Coturnix japonica: one gene and its partners. The protein of the gene in region 3 interacts with the protein of the main gene of each other region in a pairwise test. Links are inferred from orthologs where the notes say so. Each region holds a gene or a part of one and is shown on either strand. Other genes may lie near its edges.

The links.
Region 1: the proteins of DVL3 (region 3) and PITX1 interact in binary tests that used the Homo sapiens proteins (3 or more experiments, as listed by UniProt). The two-hybrid records come from large-scale screens. The link is inferred for Coturnix japonica from reciprocal best matches to the Homo sapiens genes DVL3 and PITX1.
Region 2: the proteins of DVL3 (region 3) and TNFAIP8L1 interact in binary tests that used the Homo sapiens proteins (3 or more experiments, as listed by UniProt). The two-hybrid records come from large-scale screens. The link is inferred for Coturnix japonica from reciprocal best matches to the Homo sapiens genes DVL3 and TNFAIP8L1.
Region 4: the proteins of DVL3 (region 3) and SYT6 interact in binary tests that used the Homo sapiens proteins (3 or more experiments, as listed by UniProt). The two-hybrid records come from large-scale screens. The link is inferred for Coturnix japonica from reciprocal best matches to the Homo sapiens genes DVL3 and SYT6.
Region 5: the proteins of DVL3 (region 3) and CSNK1D interact in binary tests that used the Homo sapiens proteins (3 or more experiments, as listed by UniProt). The two-hybrid records come from large-scale screens. The link is inferred for Coturnix japonica from reciprocal best matches to the Homo sapiens genes DVL3 and CSNK1D.

Annotation. Positions count from the first base shown.
Region 1 is NC_029528.1:2,532,588-2,535,418, reverse strand, and holds the end of PITX1 (pituitary homeobox 1), read left to right. Parts: intron 1-1,376; coding exon 1,377-1,916; 3' UTR 1,917-1,960; downstream 1,961-2,831. UniProt on the Homo sapiens protein: Sequence-specific transcription factor that binds gene promoters and activates their transcription. May play a role in the development of anterior structures, and in particular, the brain and facies and in specifying the identity or structure of hindlimb.
Region 2 is NC_029543.1:4,003,436-4,007,798, forward strand, and holds the start of TNFAIP8L1 (tumor necrosis factor alpha-induced protein 8-like protein 1), read right to left. Parts: upstream 2,888-4,363; 5' UTR 2,699-2,887; intron 1-2,698. UniProt on the Homo sapiens protein: Acts as a negative regulator of mTOR activity.
Region 3 is NC_029524.1:13,798,827-13,803,248, forward strand, and holds the start of DVL3 (segment polarity protein dishevelled homolog DVL-3), read left to right. Parts: upstream 1-1,418; 5' UTR 1,419-1,432; coding exon 1,433-1,950; intron 1,951-4,422. UniProt on the Homo sapiens protein: Involved in the signal transduction pathway mediated by multiple Wnt genes.
Region 4 is NC_029541.1:3,851,649-3,856,180, forward strand, and holds the start of SYT6 (synaptotagmin-6), read right to left. Parts: upstream 3,058-4,532; 5' UTR 2,807-3,057; coding exon 2,656-2,806; intron 2,611-2,655; exon of another isoform or gene 1,887-2,610; intron 1,117-1,886; exon of another isoform or gene 1-1,116.
Region 5 is NC_029533.1:4,227,985-4,232,620, forward strand, and holds the start of CSNK1D (casein kinase I), read left to right. Parts: upstream 1-1,589; 5' UTR 1,590-1,845; coding exon 1,846-1,921; intron 1,922-4,636. UniProt on the Homo sapiens protein: Essential serine/threonine-protein kinase that regulates diverse cellular growth and survival processes including Wnt signaling, DNA repair and circadian rhythms. It can phosphorylate a large number of proteins.

The DNA of each region.
Region 1 (2,831 bases), on a different chromosome or scaffold from region 3:
TCAGAGCCCTTTCTGGTAATTAAACTCCAAATGATCCAATCGGATAGCAAACAATTCCGTTTAAAATCTTCCGTGAGTAAACACGCTCTGCATCCGAATGCATTGTACTAATTGCGTTTAAAACAAAACAAAACAAAGCCCGAGAGGAGACCGAACGGCATTAATATTGCTGGAATATTTCAGGAAGCAAATAAAACTAATATACGAGTGGCCATTAACATCATTTCGTTCTCCCTCTGTGTGGAGATGTTTTGGTTTGATGTTCTGAGATTGCAGATTGCAAATCTAACCTTAATTTGCTGTGAGGGCCTTCCTTTAAAATGTCTAGGAGCCATAATTAAAACTATTACCCTCATTTTCAGGAAATTCCTGTCTGGAAGCACCTTCCGAGGAGTATATTACAGGTTTTGAAAACGTTGCCTTTCGTTTCCTCTTCGTATTTAATACTGGATTCTTTTTATTATTGTTATTTTTTCAATTGACTCCGCCATCCCTTCTTCCCTCGCAGTTTTTTCCATCCCTATGAGCGCTGGTGTAAGAACGTTGCGCCATCGCTGAGCGGGGAGGGGAGGGCAGGGGCGCTGCGAGGAGCGCAGCCTCCGCGGGGCTGAGCGCAGTGAGGAGGGGGCGGCGGAGGAGGCTGGAAACGGAGCGCGGTGCTGCCGGGTTTAACCCGGGGATAGAATTTGGGAGCCGGGCGGCCCCTTCCTGCCCCGGCTCATGGATCCCATCGCGGGGGGCTCAAAGCCTTTCCAAAAAGAAAAGAAAAAGTAAATAAAATAGGAGAGAGCCTGGATCGGTTTTTTGCATCAAACACCAGGAGCGGCCCCTGCTCCTCTGTTCCCCAGTCAGGGCTGTAAATTCTCATTAGATATAAAGGCAGAGGCTGCATCCATCCAAGGGCCATGCAGGGACTGATTTTTTTTATTTTTTTTTTTTTTAAACCTAAACATACTAATCCAATCCCCTTTTTTATGATCTGTAACAGGGGACTTTTATTACACAGCATTAGCATTCGGAAACACGGCGGAGCCGGGGCGAGCCGGCCCTAATCAGAGCTGGCCGTGCCTTCTCCCCATGGCGAGGGGAGAGGGGCGGAGGGGGATGCGGACACCCGAGCAGCCCCGCTCGCAGATGCCGCTGAATATCGGCTGCGAGCGGAGATGCGCGGACAGGGAGCAGAGGGGCAGGGATCGATGGGACCGGGAGAGGTGGGACTGGGAGCGACTGGGGCCGTGCCCGAGCGTGGGGAGGTGGGGGACTGAGGGGGTGAGGGGGTGTCGGGAGCGTCTGAGCGCTACTTGCGCGCCTCTGCGCGGCCGGGAGCGCATCGTGCGCGGCGGGGCAGCTCTGACCGTGGCCTGTCCCTCCCTCAGGTTTGGTTCAAGAACCGCCGAGCCAAGTGGAGAAAGCGGGAGCGGAACCAGCAGATGGACCTGTGCAAGAACGGCTACGTGCCGCAGTTCAGCGGGCTGATGCAGCCCTACGACGACATGTACGCCGGGTACCCCTACAACAACTGGGCCACCAAAAGCCTCACCCCGGCGCCGCTCTCCACCAAGAGCTTCACCTTCTTCAACTCCATGAGCCCCCTCTCCTCGCAGTCCATGTTCTCGGCTCCCAGCAGCATCTCCTCCATGAACATGCCCTCCGGGATGGGCCACTCGGCCGTGCCGGGCATGGCCAACTCCGGCCTCAACAACATCAACAACATCAGCGGCTCCTCGCTCAACTCGGCCATGTCGTCACCCGCTTGTCCCTATGGGCCGCCGGGCTCTCCCTACAGCGTGTACCGGGACACTTGTAACTCGAGCTTGGCCAGCCTGAGACTCAAAGCCAAGCAGCACTCCAGCTTTGGTTACGCCAGTGTGCAGAGCCCCGGCTCCAGCCTAAACGCCTGTCAGTACAACAGTTGACGGACTTGACACGAACCACCTCCGACGAACAGCGCCGACAAAGCAAAACAAAAAAAAAAAACAAAACAAGAAAAAAAAACAAAAAAAAAAAAACAAAAAAAAGAAGAAAAAAATACAAAATAAAGCAGAAACAAAGCGACGTTAAACGGAAATGAATATATATATATATATGTGTGTGTGTGTGTGTATGTAGGAACCCGATGATGTGTAAAAGCAAAACCCGAGCAAGTGAGAGAGGGAAAGAAACAGCACAAAAAGGGGGGGGGGGGGGGGAGGGAAGGCAAAATCATAATGATAATAACGATGATAATAAAACAAAACCCGAAAGCTCTGCGGACTTCGATTGTCTAAAAAACCACCACCAACAAAAATGAGAATAAATAAGAATAAATAAATAGAAAAAGAGATCCGACGACACAACCAACAAAAGCAGCGCTTTAAAAACGAATAAGCCAATAGTAACCATTAAAAAAGCAAACCACCAAAATAATAATAATTAAAAATAATAATTAAAAAAATAATAATTAAAAAAAAAAAAGGGAAACGGACCAGAAAACTTTTTGCAAGAGACACCGAAATCTGGTACATGGATGAGTTGCAATTTTTCTCTGGATGATGCGGGTTGTATGTGTTTACTTGAACTTGCACAGGAGGTGGTAAGGCGGCCGCTCCCCGCGGCACAGCGGCCATTGGGGGCGGCCCGGGGGGAGCGCTGGGGGCGGCGGCGGCCGCGGGCGCACGAGGGTGGGGTATGGGGGGGAGGTAGGGGGGAGGATGGGGGGAGTTCGGGTGATGTTTACCACTGAGAAACGGAATCGCAGTCCAAAAAAGGGGGATGGGGGGAGGGGGAACAAAAAGGAAAAGAAATAACAAAAAGAAAAAAAATTAAAAAGATTTTTAAAAAATAAATTTAAA
Region 2 (4,363 bases), on a different chromosome or scaffold from region 3:
CCTATGCTGGTGTCCATCTGGGTGCCAATCACCAGGTGTCTACAGCACTTCACAACGTGGCCCTGCTGCACTCCTGGCAGCCCCACAGCAGCTCCCATGGCAGCAGGATGAATATTTGATGCGGGAATGCAAAACACACTTCAATAATGCATGAGGCAGTGTGGAGCAAGCATGCAGAAAGGAGGGCTTGAGCTAAGAGCTCCTCCACCTCACAGCCAACTTCCATTCCCTCCAACACTGTCCTAAGGGCAGCACCACCATCTCCTATTAGGGCCAATGCTAAAAGTCAATGTTTCAGGGTCACCATCTCCCTGGTCCCCGCATTGTGTGTCCCATACTCTCCCACTGCCACTCAGGGAGATGCACACACTGCGCCGCACTGCTGCTCTGCTCTGCCCTATCACTTTCCCTTGCCAACCATCAAGTGCCCAACCAACATTAATTAATTAAACTTCGCTGCTGCACCAGATCGCGGGAGAAGGGCCAGAGCCACTGGGGTGTAACTGGAGCCTGACCCCACAGTGCTCAGCCCCCCCAGCCACATGCTGGGTGGCACAGAAGGGAGCTGGCACCTTTGGTTGTCACTGGTGTGTGTATGTGTGTTGCCATAGGAGCATGTAGCCCTGCAGGTGCAGTGCAGGGTGAGGCCAGAGGGGAATTACCTCACAGCACGGGGAAAACCTTATGACCCAACAGGGTGAGCAGGAGCACTGTGAGGGCAGGGAACAAAGAACACTGTGGGGGTAAACCCTGAGCCTTATGCAGTGCCTCACTTGGTTGCTGCATGGCCCTGCTCTGCTGTTTTGGGACCCACTGTTGAGTTCTGGGCCATGACCCCCTTTCCCTGAGCAATGCAGCAGCAACACAGCAGTGCACAGGGCTGCTCCAGCACTGCTCACGGCCCCATGCCATCCTGCTGGTGGCTGTGCTGGGGTCAGGAGCACAAGCCCAGTTCCTCAGCAGCAAAAAAAAAAAAAAAAAAAAAAAAAAGGGAAGAGACGACCCAAGATGACAAAATGCCTTTGGGGGTTTTCAAACTTTTATAACCTGAAGTCTGCCCAGGAGAAAGTGTCTTGTCCATCCCTGCAGCACAGCATAGTGGTACACACAGGACGCAGTCACCTTGGTACCAAGGGGCCAAAGGCAGCACAGAAGGCCTGAGGGATGGAGCGAGCTAGACTGCAGACAGAGTCATTGCAGCACCCTGCCTGCACCCAGCACTGCTCATCCTGGTGCCCCCTGACACCCAATAGGATAGAAGCCAGGAACTACCTGGAGGAGTTGGCTCCTCTGCAACAAGCCCAGCATCCCCAAGCAGCCTGCAGGGCTGGGAAACACCTGACTTGGTCCCAAATATGAATGGGCACCTGGGAACCCTCGTGTGTCCAGCAGCCCAAATGTGCCCATGCACGGAACTGGGTGAAGGACTCCCACTACCAGCCCCAGCCTCACACATAGGTGGGGAAAGGGCTCCCATAGTGCTCCCTTCCCTGGGGACATGGCCACAGGTGCTGCATGGGAACAGCTGCTGGCACCTGGAAGGGGCCCTTGGGGAAAGCACCCCTATGCCATGCTTGGGGACTGAGTGGTGCCATCACGCCCAGGGGCCTAGCAGCTGCAGCAGCAGGAGGAGGAGGAAGGGGTTATTTTGGTTCATCCATCTCACCTTCTATTTCCTCCTTCCCTTATCAGGCAGCCAACGATTGCTCTCTCCTGTGGCAACTTCCTTTCTTCCTCACCCGTAGCAGACAGAGGCTCAGGAGAGAGATGGGGAAGTGCAAAGCAGAGGGGGAAGCAGCAGTGCCGAGGCTGCACAGCACAGCACACACTTCCTGCCCTTGGGAGGCTGCAGCAGGGGCAAAGCGAAGTAAAGTTTTGCAGATAGACTTTATCCTGATGGAGGCAGTCCTGTAACGGGGCCATTGCTGCAGCCTTCCTCTAGCGACACTGTGCTTCGGGTCACAACACAATGTTTGCAGAACCCTAAAAACCTCTTGGTGTGTTCTGCAGCAGTCAGGGAGATTGCACCTCACACTAGGGTGGGATCCTCCCAGCCTCAGAGATCCACCTATGGTGCTGTGGGGGCTCTAAGCCCCTGGGAGCTGTGGTGCCCCACAGGCACCCCACACGTGCAGATTGGGGCTGCTGCAGAGTGGATGCCATATAGGGCAGCACGGCCCCACTTGCGCAGCACAGAACAGCATATCACATCCTTCCTGGAGCCGCTTCTCCCCTTTGCAGCCCCTGGTTCACAAACCCTAACGCCCTGCAGGAGGATGGGCTCCAAAGCACACTCCTTCAGCAGCGACAGTGAAGCCCTCTCCATTGCCGTTCTCCCACATTTTACCCAGAGGGGAAGCTGAGGCACAGCCCCACACAAGACCCAGCCGCCCCATCAACACGTCCCACCAAACCGCGGCCCCCAGACCCACACTCGTTCCCCGGGACCCCTCCCGGACCTCCCGCTTCCCGCACTTTGCCAGCACGCAGCTCCGGGGCAGCTCGGAGCCGTTCCGCTCTCAGGCGCAGAGCTCCATCCTCCTTCCACCCCCACCGCGCTCAGAGGCGCAGGGGGAGCTGCTGGAGCTGCTGCCGGTCCCGCCGCTCCCGGCCGGAGAGCACAGAGCCGCGGTCAGGGTAGAACCTCTCCCGCGGGGCCGAAAACAGGGACAGCGAGCCCCGCGCCTGCAGCCCTTACCTGCACCGGGGCCACAAGGGCTCCTCCGGTGGGACGGGGTGTTGATTTTCCCCGGGGCTTCTTCGTGCCCGGACACAGCGGCGCTGTACCGGTGCTCGGTAAAGCCGCCGTGCCCGGTGCTCCGGGCTGCTCCGGACCGAGCGGGGCCGAGCGCGGCTGCGGTGGAGGCGGTGCCCACCGGCGGTGCTGGCCAATGGTGATGCGGGGCTTGCTACGAAGCTGCCAATAGGAGAGGGGCGGGGGAGTACCGAGGGGGCGGGCGCCGGGCGCTTTCCTCTCGCCCCGGGGTCACCGGCGCCGAGCACGGGACGGGCGACCCCTCCCCGGTGCGCTGCGGGGCTGCCCCGCCCCGGCTGGAGCCCGGCAGGCGGGTACCCGAGGGCGGCTCCGTCCGCTGCTGTCGTTCCGGTGCCGCTGAGCTCCCGCCCGATAGCGCCGAGCGAAACCGCCCCCGGGAAATCCCGCACTCTGTGGCCGCGCTCCGACTCAGCGGGTTTGGGGGTGGAGTGCCTCTGCCGCCGCTCGGTGGTGCCGCCCGCCAGAAGGGGTCAGTCTGCGCTCCGCTCCCGTCCCGTCCCCTCTCCTCCATCCCGCTGTTCCCCTCCATCCTGCCCCCCATCATTCCACCGCTGCCTTCTATCCCATCCCGGCCCCTTCATCCCTTCCGACCCCTCGAAGCAGCCGCTGCGCAGGATCCTAATTCTGAAAGGTGGCATTAAAAGCACTAAAGGCAGGATTTAGAGCAAATTAAAGTCTGGATTAAACAGACTTGAATTTGCCGATAGTTTCATGCAGCAGCTGGGAAGTTAAACAGTTCCTTCCTTCCTCTGCAGCTCCTGCTCCATGGGAGTGCTCCAACAGACTTTGTCTTCTACGGGGGGCCCTCCAGGGAAGTTATATCCACTCTAAATCTCCCCTCATTTAGTCTGAAACCATTTCCCCTTGTCCTCTGCTAGAGTCTGTCTCCTCTCTTACAGCTCCTTCAGGTCCTGATAATCTGCTCATTCCCAGAGCTTTCTCTTCTCCATGCTGCACAGCCCCAGCTCTCAGCCTGTCCTCATAAGGAGGTGTTCCCTTGGGAACCTTTTCGTGACCCTCCTCTGGTAATACTCCAACAAGTCTGAGTCCCTCCTGAGCTGAGGACTCCACATCAGGAGGCAGTGCTCCAGATAAGGTTTCGCAGTGCAGAAGGGGAACATCCCCTCCTTCACCCACTGCCCATGACTGTGGAACTCCTCCACCCTCCAACCCAGGCTGGAGCTGAACAAACCGAGCCAAGGGTACAGCGCACCCCACCCCATGATGCCCTCCCTCTGCCCATGCACCCCAGGAGCTGCTCTCAGCCCCACCATCTGTTGCTGCTCTCCTGAGCAGTTGCAGCCCCAAGCTGCCTGGCGTCAACCCCTCTCCTGAGCTCATCTGATCCTCTTGTCCACTCACAGGGAGCAGGCACAAACTGTTCACTGGGAGCAGCACATGAAAGATAAGGGTGCAGGGACAGCTCTTTTGTCCCCATTGCTGCCCCATACTGGATCCCCAGTGTTGGCTCACCCCATGCTGACATGCTCACAGTATGGCAGTGTGCTGAGCCATTCCCAGTGGCACAGGGCACTTAAGAGGCTTCCCTGGGTGCTTGGTGTGCCAGCCCAGGCCCTAGTGCCTTGC
Region 3 (4,422 bases):
TGCAAATACATACAACACTCTTGTAAATCAAACTGTTTGGGTTGTGGAAGAGTGCGGCCATACAGCCAAGTTACTGGGAATCATTATTGCTTCTGGAGCTAAAAGAACTCCTGCTGAAGAGACGCTGGCAAGGTTGGTGAGTAGAAGCGTGTGGATTAGGATCTGGAGTGCAGGACTGGGATTCGAGGGTTCCTGTGCCTTGAGAAGATACAGTGAGTTGTCTCAGGATGCCCAAGGCACTTTGCAGTCCAGAAGGTGTTTCTGTGATCTTTATGAAAGGGAAGAACCTCTTATCATCTGCTGTGCTAGAATCTAAAGAGAAGTTGCACAGCAGAGTTGGTAATACCACGTGTTTCCACCTTCTTTAGAACCACGGGATGGCTGGTGTACACTCAGCTCCCCTTATGGGGTTGGCTAATAGCAGATGCACATTGCTCGGTGAAATGCTGTACAGCTTATTACATCTTAGGTGCAATCTGCCTTCTGCACATCCCCAGCTTAGCAGACACATTGTTTTAGAGGTGTCTGTTCCTTTGTTGGTTTGTTTCTTAATACAAAGAGAGCAGAGATGCCTGGCTCCTCCTGCTGCACAGCTACACTTGTGTTTTACTCTGTGGGCACCAGCTGGACCAGCTGCTTTCAGGAGCAGCCTCTGTTCATAGGTGGATGATAAACTGGGTATGCTGACCTTGCCTCTGCCCCTTCAGGAGGAGCGTGGAATAAAGCCCATGAGAGGGAGGGGGAACACGCACTGGAGCTGCCCACTCAGGATCTTTACTTGGCCGTTCCACGGTGCCACTGATGTCAGTGAGGGGACAGCGCTGGGTGCAGGAGGCCGGGGGTGCTGCCTCTTCAAACCGATGCTGCAGGGCCGCCTTGTGCACTCAGTGTCACCAGGATTGTGCACAATAACTGCTTCTTTTCTGACAGTGCAAACTGAGCTTTGTAAACGTTGGGGGAACGGGGTCTGAGTTTTCTGTATCGGCCAATATTGAATTCAGGGAGCAAATAAACCCGGTCCTGGTGATGCTGGCCCGCTTGGTTCTGTGTGTGTGTGTGTGTGTGTTTGCTGAGCAGGGCTGAGCTCAGAGTGGGGGCACAAAGCCGCAGGGGGGGGATGCGCACGTTGTGCTGCGGGATGGGGTCACGGTGTATGGGGGTCACGGTGTATGGGGGGTCACGGTGTATGGGGGTCACGGTGTATGGGGTCACGGTGTATGGGGGGTCACGGTGTATGGGGTCATGGTGTATGGGGGGTCACGGTGTATGGGGGGTCAGATGGGGGTCGGTATGGGGGTCACGATGTATGGGGGGTCACGGTGTAATGGGGCACGCGTTGTATGGGGGTCACGGTGTATGGGGGGTCACGGTGTATGGGGGGGTGCACCCGTGTATGGGGATCACGGTGTATGGGGTCACGGTGTATGGGGTCATGGTGTACGCTGCCCGGTGTGGGGACCCGGTTCGTGCGGTGCCGAGGGCGGCCCAGCAGCGCGGCCCCGTGGGGCGCCGGTTCCGGTTCCGGTGGGGCCGTGGGGGGGGCGGGGCCGCGGGTCGGAGCGTGCGCGGTGCGTCCGGGCGGCGCTGGGACCCGCAGAACAAGGGGCGAGGGGGGAGCGGAGCGGGCGGGCCGGAACCGGGCCGGGCCCGAACAGCGAGGGAGCCGGGCCCGGGCCGGGCCGAGCGGGACCGCGGCGGGAGGGCGGCCGGAGGCGGCGCGGGGGGTCTCGGGCCGGGCCGGGGGCGGAGGAGCGGCGGCCCGGCGGCCGGGCAGGGGCGCCATGGCGGCGGCCGAGACGGAAGATCATCTACCACCTGGACGAGCAGGAAAGACGCCGTACTGGTGAAGCTGCCCATCCCGGCCGAGCGCGTCACACTCGGCGACTTCAAGGGCCTCCTCAACCGGCCCAACTACAAGTTCTACTTCAAGTCCATGGACGACGATTTCGGGTGAGCGCGGCCCCGGGCCGGGCCCTGCGCGGGGCACTGCGGGGGGTGGCGGCGTCCCCCGAGCATCGCCGTTCTGTTCCCAAGGGCCGGGCTCCTTCCTTTGTGTGGACCCGGGGACGGTGCGAGGGCACCGCTCCCTCCCTGGCCCCTGCCCGGCACGGCGCGGCTCTCCTCACATCCATTTTGGGGAGCACCGTCCATTTTGGCAGTGCTTTCTCCCCTCCCCGGCTCTGGGATGGATGGATGAAGGGGTTTGAGAGCTCTCCATGTGCTGCCCGGCTCTGGGCAAAGTGGACGAGCTGTGCCCTGCTCCATCTCCACAGCGGGGCCATATGGAAGAGAGAAGCAGCCCTGCCTTGTGTTGGGGCAGCTCTCCTCCACTCCCCGTGTTTTCATGGTTTCTTTGCTCTTTCCACCACGCGTGGTTGTTTGGATGCACTCAGTCCTGCTCCTACCATGGACAGTTGTGTTGACTGATCTGCTCGGAAGCTGCTTCCTCCCATCTCCCTCAAGGCATGAACTGACCTGGGGAGCCCCGTGAGATCAGATCTCAGTGAGACCCTTTGTTTGGCCCTCATTTCTTGGTGACACCCTTTGTTTTGCCTGGGTTCTTCCCACCTCTCATTCTCCTCTGGCTTTGTTGTGGAGCTCCCTTCCCTTCGCAGCTTCTCTTGGCCTCCGCAGCACGTGACCCATCACCATCCCTAGTGCTTTGCCGTTTAAAAGAGTTGCGTGATCTCCTTCCCTTTGCATTTTTTCCCTTCAGAAGATGGAGTGTTTACAGTAGGTCTTGCGGATGGAGGCTGGGACTGCAGAGAGCTTTCAGTTTTATAGCCTTCCCAGTGTCTTCGTGCCGCGCCAAATGCCTCCCTGGGCTGCAATCTTGGCTCCTGCCGTAAGTTACACAGGGCTGGGCCTGTTTGGGGCTTGGATGGAAAGCCGTGTGGCTGCCTCGGCAGGGGGTGCTCTCCCCTCTGCAGCCAAACCATCCCGGTGCCCAGGTTCCCGTTAGCTCGGGAGATGCCAGCTTTCAGTTGAGGCTTGGAAGTTGGAGTCACTCCTGTGACCACAGTCTGGGACGCTTCGCCTCTCTGCATTCCTCCAGGCCCAGCGGAGAGCTGCAGCCCTCAACAGCTTCCCCCCTTCTCTCCAGCCAAATAGAAGCTCCTCGGCCCTCGTTTACCATAAATCTCCCCTGCGCTATCAGTTGTTGGCCGATGGTTTCCTGTCCCTCAGCTGTTGGGTGCTATGGAACAGCTGCCTCTCCTCGGCTCTGAGGGGACCGTGTCTCCGTGGTGGGAGAAGTGAATTCTCCATTCTGGGCTCGCTCTGTTTGTAAACAAATGCTTTGAGATCCTTTGAAATGTTCTTGAAGTGAATTCAAACTTGTCTCGAATGAAATACTGCCGTGTGGGTGGGAGAGTGTCTGCGCAACTATAAACAAAGTTTAGTAATAAATAGCAGCGTCTCGAGTTGGGAAGAGGGGTCTGGTGGCAGCAGAGCTCTGCCTTGTGCCTTTTCATCCTCCTCTGTGTCTTTAAGGCTCCGTGAGAGGAGGCAGATGGTGGATTAATGAAAGTTGAAGATAAAGCACATAGAGTACGAGGAGGGAGAGGGAAGAATGGCTCAGGGAGACCCAGTGAGGTCAGCTGCACAGGAATGTGGGAGATGAGGATGATTTCAGCCAGCTCCTCTGGGAAGAAGTGACTTTGGGAAGGTGGGTCTGCAGCTGGAAGGGGTCTCTTGGGCGGTGGGTGAGATCCTGCCCCACTGTGCTGAAGCACTGCATGGAATGGAAAGCAGAAACCTCTCCTGGTGGCACCAGGGCTGCCCCATCGGGGTAGAGATGTTTGGGTCTTTCCTCCTTTCCAGAGAGCCAAAGGAAGCCAGGGAAGGGCTGGAGCCGTCCAACTGCAGCGTTGTCTCCAAGATGCTCTGGAGCCCCAGGCAGCACTGGAAATATTTGGGATCCCTGGTGGTTGGTGTCCAGGAGAAAGCAACGAGTCGGTGTGCAGGGACAGAAGGGCAGGAGGAAGCTCAGCTGCTCCTTGTGAGCCTGTAAATATCGGAGCGATTAGTGAAAACCAGCAAGAGATGAATGCTGGTTGTGTTCAGCAGCTGTGTGCCAAAGAAAGGCATTGCAGGGCTGTGTGTTCATCCCTCAGCCTCTTTCAAGAATCACAGCGTGGCTGCTTGGTTGGAAGGGACCTCGCAAGGCTTAATCCAACGCTTCCTCTCACCTCTGGTGCCCAGATTGAATGGGTTTCTCCTTCTTCCTCCCCTTCGGAGGCTGTGCATCTCCAGCCCAGCGTTCCCTGCAGCCTGCCCATCCTCAGGGCAGCGTTTCAGCTGCAGTCTTGCTGTGTGGGATTTTTCCTTCTTTTGTTTATCTTGTTAATATTTGTTTGCCCTGAGAATCAGGGCAGTGATGGAGCAGCTTCAGTGTTTACGTCTCCTTGGAAATGGGAACAG
Region 4 (4,532 bases), on a different chromosome or scaffold from region 3:
ATGCAGAGTTACTTAGAAAGCTCCCAGGCACTGCACAGCTCCATAGTGCTGTTTATTTACCAGGACCATTTCAATGAGCACAAAGCCAGCTGTGAATTCACGGAGCTACACACCGAACGCATAAACATATTCATAGACAAACCATACAATCAATTTCCCCTTGATTTACGCTGCTGGTTTTGACCTTATTTCAATAGAGTTTAAGCCTTCTAGCTGCAAGATTTGAACACGACACCTTCAGGATCAGAGCACAAACCTGTTCTGCTTGAGCTAAAGAGCAAATGTGCTGCATGCAGCCCTTGCTGGCTCTCTACCTGCTGCTGGAACAGGCGCTCACAGAGGAAGGCAAAATCCATTCTGTGAGTGCATTGCGCCGTGCTAAGAGAGATCTTTGCCCACAGGCACTGCTCCTCACATGCTTGGCCTCCAGAGACGTAAGCCTTGATGATTAGTATTAGTTTTGCCTGGGTGGCTTCAAACATGTTCACTGTTATACCACCATATTGACTTAAAATACACTTGAACAGTGATTCAGAGAAGTGTGTTATTACAGCCAATAAGTAAACGCAGGAGTGGCCCTTATTTCACAGCTAGTGGCTCGAGGCATCCCACATCAGTGAATGGTCATGCCATCAAGTTCCCATTAGTCAAGCTGCCCTATCAAGGGATATTTTTTGTCCCCAGGAACACACTTCAGAAGCAATTTCCCCATATAAAAATGTTCGTTCCCCATCAGCATTTCTGCAACAAACCTCCCCACGCTGCACAAGAGCTCAGCCTCTCCCCTCCTGCAGCAGGAATGCTTACAGACGTGTGGGTTTTGCATTTAATAGTATTTGCAGAGCGCCAGGAGCGTGCTGAGCACTGCACAAGAACCGTCTGTGTCATGGAAAAGAGCAGTTCACACAAAGGGCAGAGCACTGAGAGCGCACTGAGTTATGGAAGGGATGGAGCTCAGGACAGCTCAAACACCACACTGGGAAGCAGACGTGCTCTTCAAGTCCCAGAGAGCTCAGCAAACTCAGAGTGCCTGCCACAGCTGCAGGGTGCAGCAGTATATACCTGTTTGCTTAAGGTACATCACTGCAGTGGCAAGTGTTGGCTCTATATCACAGCCTGTAGCTCGTGGCTGTCTGCTATCTGCACACAGCATCACTGCACAGTGAATGAGGGTGGGCAGGGAAGAGCTGTCAGATGCACTGAGCTGCAGGGGGGTCAGATGGGCACAATAAAGGACATTGCCTTTGTCCAACCGCAGGGCCCACAGCCAGGAGAGCAGGGCTATTCCTGGCACTGCTGACACATCCCTACAACACCTTCCTCACCCAAGAGCCTTATTTTTCAGACACACAGAGTTACAACCCAGCAGCCCACAAAGCTCCTTCATTGATACACAGTGCTGTACGGCGAACTGGAGAAATGCTGCAGCTACGTTTCTCTTATTGGCTAAGTAGGGGAACAGGCTGTTACATAACCCAAAGCACAGAGAGTAGGGAAGCATCTACTTGATGCACAGAATCTCTTCTCACATCCAATTCAAAGCACTTTCAAACAGGAGAATCAGCGCACAAAACCAGAATTGCACAGTGCTACCTATTTGCACAGAAACCAGCCCAGTACTTTTATATCCACAGTCCTTTTCCATGGCCAGATATGATCCAAGAAGGCTAATATGGCACTTGGCTCACTTCATCACAGCACACAATATACTGGGGTGCTCCCATTCATCAGCAACATGAGCTGCATGACCATGACAACTCAACTTTACCCATCCACCAGCTAATAGATCTATCCAGGAGGTAAAAAACTAGCACAGAACCTTTGAATACACATGCTCAAATGCAACAGCCCTAAGCATAGAAACAAAAGAAAACATAACTACTTACATCAGGAAGGCTTCCAGAGCAGCAAGGATCTCCAGTGAGATGCCATTACCTCCACTGCCAACCCTCAAATGAGGTTTGGGAAGGGGTGGAACCAGGCTCTGGTCACTCAGGTGCATTTCATTGCACACACCTGTGCTTCTCACCAGGTGCTCAATCACTGTTTTAGATCATGACTTAGCAAAGTGCCATTTCATTCGCTTGGGTTTTGCTCCTCCATGTGAACCTGTGATGTTTGATCCCTCTGCAAACGTCTTTGGCAGTTGCAGGTAAGGGCTGCTCTCTAGAAGCTGTGAGCAGAAGGGGAATTCACCACGTTCCCATGCAGAAGTGCCCCTTTGCCTTTAGAGCAATCACCAGCTCCCAGCCCGTGCATCACCCTGCCTGGTGACCCCATGCAAACCCTTCCTTTCCTTGAGCTGAGGTAACAATAAGCATCTCTGTCTCTCAAACGGGCTTTTTTATTGCTTCTCTCTTCGTATAGGATGAGAGTTGAGGTTTTTAACTAAAAACAAGGAACTTACACAGAAACTTAACACCACCAACCACCTCTCCACCTCAGTGCAGCTCTGCCCATGGGGTTACACCGACTTACACCGACAGATTAACCTGCACCAGCTGTGGGATGCATAAAGGAAAATAAAGACAGGTCTGTGCTAAGACAGTTCTCCCCTAATTCCAACACTGAGCCCCCAGAGGATCCCCCGCTCTGAAGGCATTTCCCTGCTTTGGATGTTTGCAGTCCTGAGCTCACAGGACCATAGTACTGTACCTGGCTTGGAGATGCTCAGGCTCTGGTCTGAAGGCAGAAGGAATTCCCTACACGTGTCCAGATCCAGGGCAGGAAGGCTTTTTTTCCGGCACAGCTCAGAGATGATGCGAACTGCCTTCTGACAGCGGCTGTCATCCTCGGTGCCACTCATCTCCCAGACCGCATCCTCCGCTGCCCCCCTTCTGTCTCAGGAAGTCCAACTAGAAGCACAGGCTGTGCTTCTTTCCCACAGCATCAGTCCCACCCTTTGACATGGCTGCACCGGGGGGGTCCCACGTACCCCCAGTGCCCTGAGCTGCAGGTTGGGCTGCAGAGCCCTGTGCTGTCTGCAGCCCCTCTGTGCTCCTGGCGCTCAGATTGCCTCTGAGATCAGAGATCTGTTTACTGCCAAAGAGTGTTCCAGACAAAGAACCTCCTACTAAATTCAGTTTCGTGCCCTCCATACTATGCTTTTAAAGCCGCAGCCCAGATAATTCCTTTTAACCCTTCTGTTGCTCTTCCTCCTGGTTCCCTGGGTGCAGAGTTTCAAACCTGGAGCATCCTGACAAAGGAAGTGAATGTTGAAATCTGACTGAGGACAACAGAGAAACGCTGCACAAATTACTATAGCTGCGAAAGGCAGAGTGGAATGAGCAGTCAGGTTTGTTTGCATCAGTGCCATTGCAGCCAGTTGGAGGTGGCCATAAAGACTGAGCACATCATTCTATTTTGCTCTCAGGTTTTAAGAAAGGAACAACCACAAGTCTGTAGCCTTTCTTATTTCTGATGCAGTTTATTTGGCACATCGTGCCACGCAATCAAACCACGCTTTTGAATTTGAGAACATATTTAGCACACGTGAAAAAAGAATCAATCCTATAACAGTCCCAGCTCTGCTCAGCAGAGTGATTCCTTGCAGCCCCGGAGCAGCACCAGATCATCAGTAAACTGGAGACTGAACGCTGCAGCTGCACGGGTCCCTCAGCCCCACATCACAACAGCACGTCGAGATTAATGGCAGTGTGTTTATTCTGGCTGGCAATTACTGCTGAAGTTCGGTGAGCTCTCGCATCACACGAGTCCCAGGAGATACACAAGCACCTGTACAGCCAGGAGCATCAGCCCTATAGACTCATATGGGGCTCCCAGAAGCTCAGGCCTGAAATTGCAGCCTGGTGATGTGAAGAAATAAACACACCGTACATTGTAGTAGAATATTTAGGAATACAGCTGTTGAATTGTTGTATTACGGGATCAGCTCTTACTAATGAAACAACTTCACCTGCAACACTTCACCTACTAAGCACCAACCCTTCCGAAGAGTTCAGTTGCTGTGGCAACGTGTTGGAAAGCCGTTATTAAGACAGCAATATCCCACAAATGGTCACAAAGAGACATTGTTTAATTAGACACCACCACCTCCCGGTCAGCCCTGCAGAACCCTCTGCAGCTTTGAGACAACTGCAAACAGCAGCACAAGCTGCACTGAGCAGAGATCCCAAACTCTGCAAGGTGGGAAATGGAACCAGTAACTGACCGGGAGCTCAGCTCTGGTTCAGCTTTGTAGAACATTTAAGATTCTGATCTTCTTGCTGGTAAGAATGACTCTGATTTGGATCCTCTGGCAGCACTGATGTGGGGTCTGTGTGTAAATGGTGCTGTGCAGACCAAGCAATAAGCTGAGCAAACAGCTTCACCCAATGGAAAGGAGGGAGGAACTGTTTGTCACAAGAGAAACAGCCTCAAGAATGAATAGAAATCCAATACCAATCACAGGAGCTGGGCCTTGAACTGAGTATGGGGGAATAAAGTGAAGCAAGCTCTCCTTGAAGCTGTAGAGAAGTGCCAACCAGCAGCCATGAAGCTCCTGAAGCTGAGCAATACACAAAGCAAAGGAA
Region 5 (4,636 bases), on a different chromosome or scaffold from region 3:
TCCCTGGGCAGTGCTTTTGCTCTCCTTAAGCCAAGCCTGGATAGATGGATGGAACATGCACATAATAATAAACCCTACCTGCTGTGAGCACCCAGCAGGTCCCACCTGAGACCCATAAACAACCAGGGGTCCCTGGGGCTGCTGTTCAATTGAAAGCCAAGTGCAGAAGGGATCTGTTTCCTCTGCCTTCCTTGCAGCTCCCGGCCATGCTGGAGGCTGTGACATGTATCTGTGCTCAGTGCCAGCTCTTGCTTCACTGCTACGCTTTGGCTCTTGGGTTGATCTGCGACATATTTCAGTAGCCTATCCTTATAAAAACCGCAGTTGAATTGTATGATGCGATCAATTCTTGCTTGCAAAACTGCGATAGCTTTTAGATGTTGTGAATAGTTATGGATGTAGTATTATAGACTAGAAAGCATGTTGTAAGGCTATTCTGTTTTGATAAGAGACCCTCAGCAAAAGAAACTCAAGAAGGAAAAGGCATGAGTGGGGTTAACAAACATCAAAGAAGCCAGGGCCTTTACACAAGGCTGCGTAGCCTTGCTCTGTGGGTAGGCTGGGATGGAACAGGCAGGTGTCAATGTATTCCCCCTCTCCTTCCCCAGTAAAGACAGGATGCTGAACTTATCCCTATCCTGAGACTAAGAGATGCTCAGATGGCTGAGGAGGCAAAAGTGACAGGGTTGGTACCTATAAATTACTTTTAATAGCCATTCTCCTTCTAAGCAAACCTCAGTGAAGGGAGTTTATCAAGTGGGCAAGTGAGGAAGGTGGTGGGGGAAGTCAGAGGCTGCCGAGTGGGCTGTGGTGATGCTAAAGGATACTAGATGGCAGCAGAAGCCACGGGATGGATGGTGGAACGCCATTACTTGAGATAGATGTGTATGAATCACCTCCTGGAGGGATTACGAGTATATACTGTCTGTGGAAATAAAATCTACGGCGTAATTAACCCCAGTGATGCTAAGGAAGAATATCTGCTCACCCATAGCAATCAATTGCTGTTAATGCCTCAATTCTTTGCCCAGATATTGCTCTGCAAAGCAAATGTGATGAGCAACAGTAACGAGGGCTGGAATGACTGTGGGGTGATCTCAATTTTTCCCACAGCATTAGGAAATACTGCTTCTGTTTAGAACTCCTTGGTCTAAATTATACTCGTTATCACGGGGATGAACTCTTTTATTTTTTAATTTTGCATGTGAAAGTTGCTTTTCTTGTTATTGTTATTGTTATTGTTATTTGTTGTTGACTGGAGGAATGTAGACCGCGTCCATTGGGAAACTGGAGGACCGATGACCATAGATCTTGGAGGACTGGCGGCGCAGAGCGGTAAAAGCAAAGCGACGCCACTACCCGCGTTCTAAACGCATGCGTGTTATTGCCTGGAGGACCGGAGACCATAGAGACAGGCGGAGCAGAGAGGTCAGGGGCAGGACGCGCACGCGCAGTTGTCATCTGAGGACCTACGGAGCGCGATGGGAAGGGCGGATGAGAGCGGAAATGGTGGGCGGAAGCGGAAGTCCACCCAAGTGAGGTCACACACTATGGCGGCTCCCCAGCAACGCCCCAGGCAGCGCGCCCCGCCCCCGTTGCTAAGGAAGTGAGGTCACGCAGTATGGCCGCTCGGGGCCGGAGTCGCTGAGGGCTCGGCGTTGTGCTGAATCCGCGTCCATCCTTCCCTGCAGTTCCGAGGGCGGCGTCGCTCTCCTCGGCAGCACCGAGCGGCGGGACCGGGGCCGCGATGGCGGCAGGAACGGCGGGGCTGTGAGATAGAAGAGCGCCGGCCTGAAGGGTGGGAAGGGAGACGGAACCGGGTCGGGGCCGAAGCGAAGCGCCGCCATGGAGCTGAGGGTCGGGAACAGGTACCGGCTGGGCAGGAAGATCGGGAGCGGATCCTTCGGAGACATTTACCTGGGTAAGGAGCGGGGCTCAGTGCGGACCCACCGGGGGGGGCTATGGGGCCTCACCTCGTCCTGACGGAGCTCAATGGCCAACGCTGCGTCGTGCCTCGGTGCCGGCACAGCGCGATGTTCCCTTCGCATCGTGTCCTAATTTAGGCAGCGCTGGACTCCTGGATGATTCGGCTGCCTCGTAACGTTGGTGGTTGGTGACCTTGGGCGTCGATATTTGTCTGTAAAAGGGGAAAAGATCTGGGGAAAGAAGCACGAGCATCAGCATTAAATGTCACCGCAGCGCACTGGGTTAAATCGCTGTCACAGGGATGTTGCTGTCTGCTGTAAGGCCTGAAAGAAATATCACACAACTCAGGGATGACAAGTTAAAAAATGCATCAGATCCTCCATAAAAATGAGAACAGCTCAGCTCTGCCCTGACTTGAACGCTGCCCTCTTGTCTTAAGGCACGCAATCACTGCTGTGATTTCTGTGCGAGTGTGAAGACTGTGGGATAGAAGTGCCTTTACCTGCTCTGTGTTGTAATGGCTCACTGCTGATGGTTCAATGGGCTGCATTGAAGGTTGTCGTGGTATTTTAAATCTCTCAAACTGCACAAAATGGATTCAATGTACAGAAATAGGTTTTATAGATACTGATGTTTGTGCTGCCACATAGAAACAAGCGTTTGGTGTTTGGAAATGGAGGTAACATAGGGAAGTAGAACACATAACTGGAGGGGAGGAACTTGCAGGCATTAAAGTAGGTTAAATGGACATGTCTAGAGAGTGGAGGCATCCCTAGCTCATGTATGTTGTATTTAGTGGTGTACACAGGGCATACATGTATTTTTCTTGTAGGCAATGGTACCTTTTTGTGTTGCAATGCACAGTTGGTCTTCTGAAATAATGTGTCAGCTGAAGCTTCTTGCTTACAGGTCGTGAAAGGCTGGTTATCCATAATATCATCTTGATGAAGAATCCAGCCATGTTGTTGTGATGGGATCTGTGCTCTCTGTGTGTAAAAGAATGAAGGGTGCTATGAGAGAACGTGGTGACACACAAAATCTTCATTAGCAGCCATTAGTGCTTTAAGGCAGCAGTTAAAATCGGAACAATCTTGCTGTGATTTGAGGTATTCCTACTAAAGATTTGGCTTCTCTAAATTAAATGGTGACCAGTAGAGTTCTAAAGTGCAAGTAGAGTAAAGGCATGCTTCGTAATCCAGATTAACTGCTGGGTAGAAGTTAAACAAGTCAGTTGTTACTGTCTTATGTATGGAAGAGGGCTGGGAAATGGTTTCATCTGTATGTATCTGTATGTATGTATTATGTATCCAGCCCACATCAGGAAAGACTTTCAGGTCTCAGTATTTCTCTCTTTATTCCTGCAACTTTTGGTGCAAGAATTCCTAATCCTCAGATGTTGTCCTTTTTTATCCCTACATTCTCAGTGTCGATGTACAATTAGCTCTTACTGTGAGCACTGTGCGTGCCTCGAATCTTGTTCTTCTTATCCTTAAGTAACCAGCATGGATTGATAATTACATCACATTACAAGGGTGATTTCTGAGCCATCCGCTAGCAGAGAATGGTTTGCCTTAAAGATCCAGCTCATGGCACAGTTATCTGTTTCCAAGGGAAAATGCTGTGTCAAGATCTTAAATATTGTGGTCTTTTGTAGAGGGTGGTTTGCTTTGCCAGCCGCTGTGTGGCAAAACAGAGGCTTAAAGGATCTGTGCTTCTGGTTAAACCAAATGTGTTTAACAACAAATAGGCTCTGCTTGGTCGTTCGGGTGGTGCAGTAAGGCAGAGCCATGTACAGTTCACTTCTTGCATTCTTGCAGAGCTCAGGATTAATAGGTTGAAGTACAATCGCTTTCTGATAGCTCTCAATACGTTTGTAAGCTTCCATCTGTTTTGTGCTTGGGAGAGAAGTGTTACAGCTCTTCTGGGCTCATGTAGCATAACAGGGTCCGTAGCACAGAGCTCTGAGATGCTGTGGTGAATGAATTACCACAGGGAGTTTAAAGGAAAGAAGAATTGAGTGTACCTCCGTCTTATGAGGTTCCTATCTAGAAGAAAGAAGAGCATGGATGCCCAGATATCTTATAGAGTAGCAAAGATGAGCAGTGTTCAGGAAAAGAATCAGGGTAAGCATCTGTGTTTGGCTCCACCCACAAGGTCAAACAGACAGGAGTCATGAAGGCATTACAGTCATTACATTACAGTGTTTTCATGACTGTTTCACTACATCTCTTTTCTTAGAGGTGGTCTTTGTGCTGTAAACTAAAGTTTAAGAGACAGAGAAGAGCTGTCTGGAGAAGCTCATATGGTCGGTTTTTACACTAAGGCTGTGACTCTGGGTTCTGTTGGGCTGTAGAGTGTTCCTTTAAAGGGTCTTAATGTTTAGACTTCAGCAGGCAGAAGTCCATGGGTGCTCCTGTAGATTGACTTCTTCATACCTGTTTCCTCAAGGACTTGCAGGAAATATGAAGAACGTATGGGAGAGGTTTCATTGGGAGCTTTGATTACTTATTAAGAAGGTTATAGGTTTATAGCTCATAAAGTAGTTTCAGGATGAAATGAACTTGATCCTTAGGTAATGGATCTGCTTGTGTTACCCTAATTAACCTTGCTGGCAGTGAACAAGAAATGCAAGTGCTGTGGCATAAAGCAGAATCTTTGCACATGAGTTAAACATTGCTTTAAAGGTTGAAATGGAGGGTAGAGCAAAAGG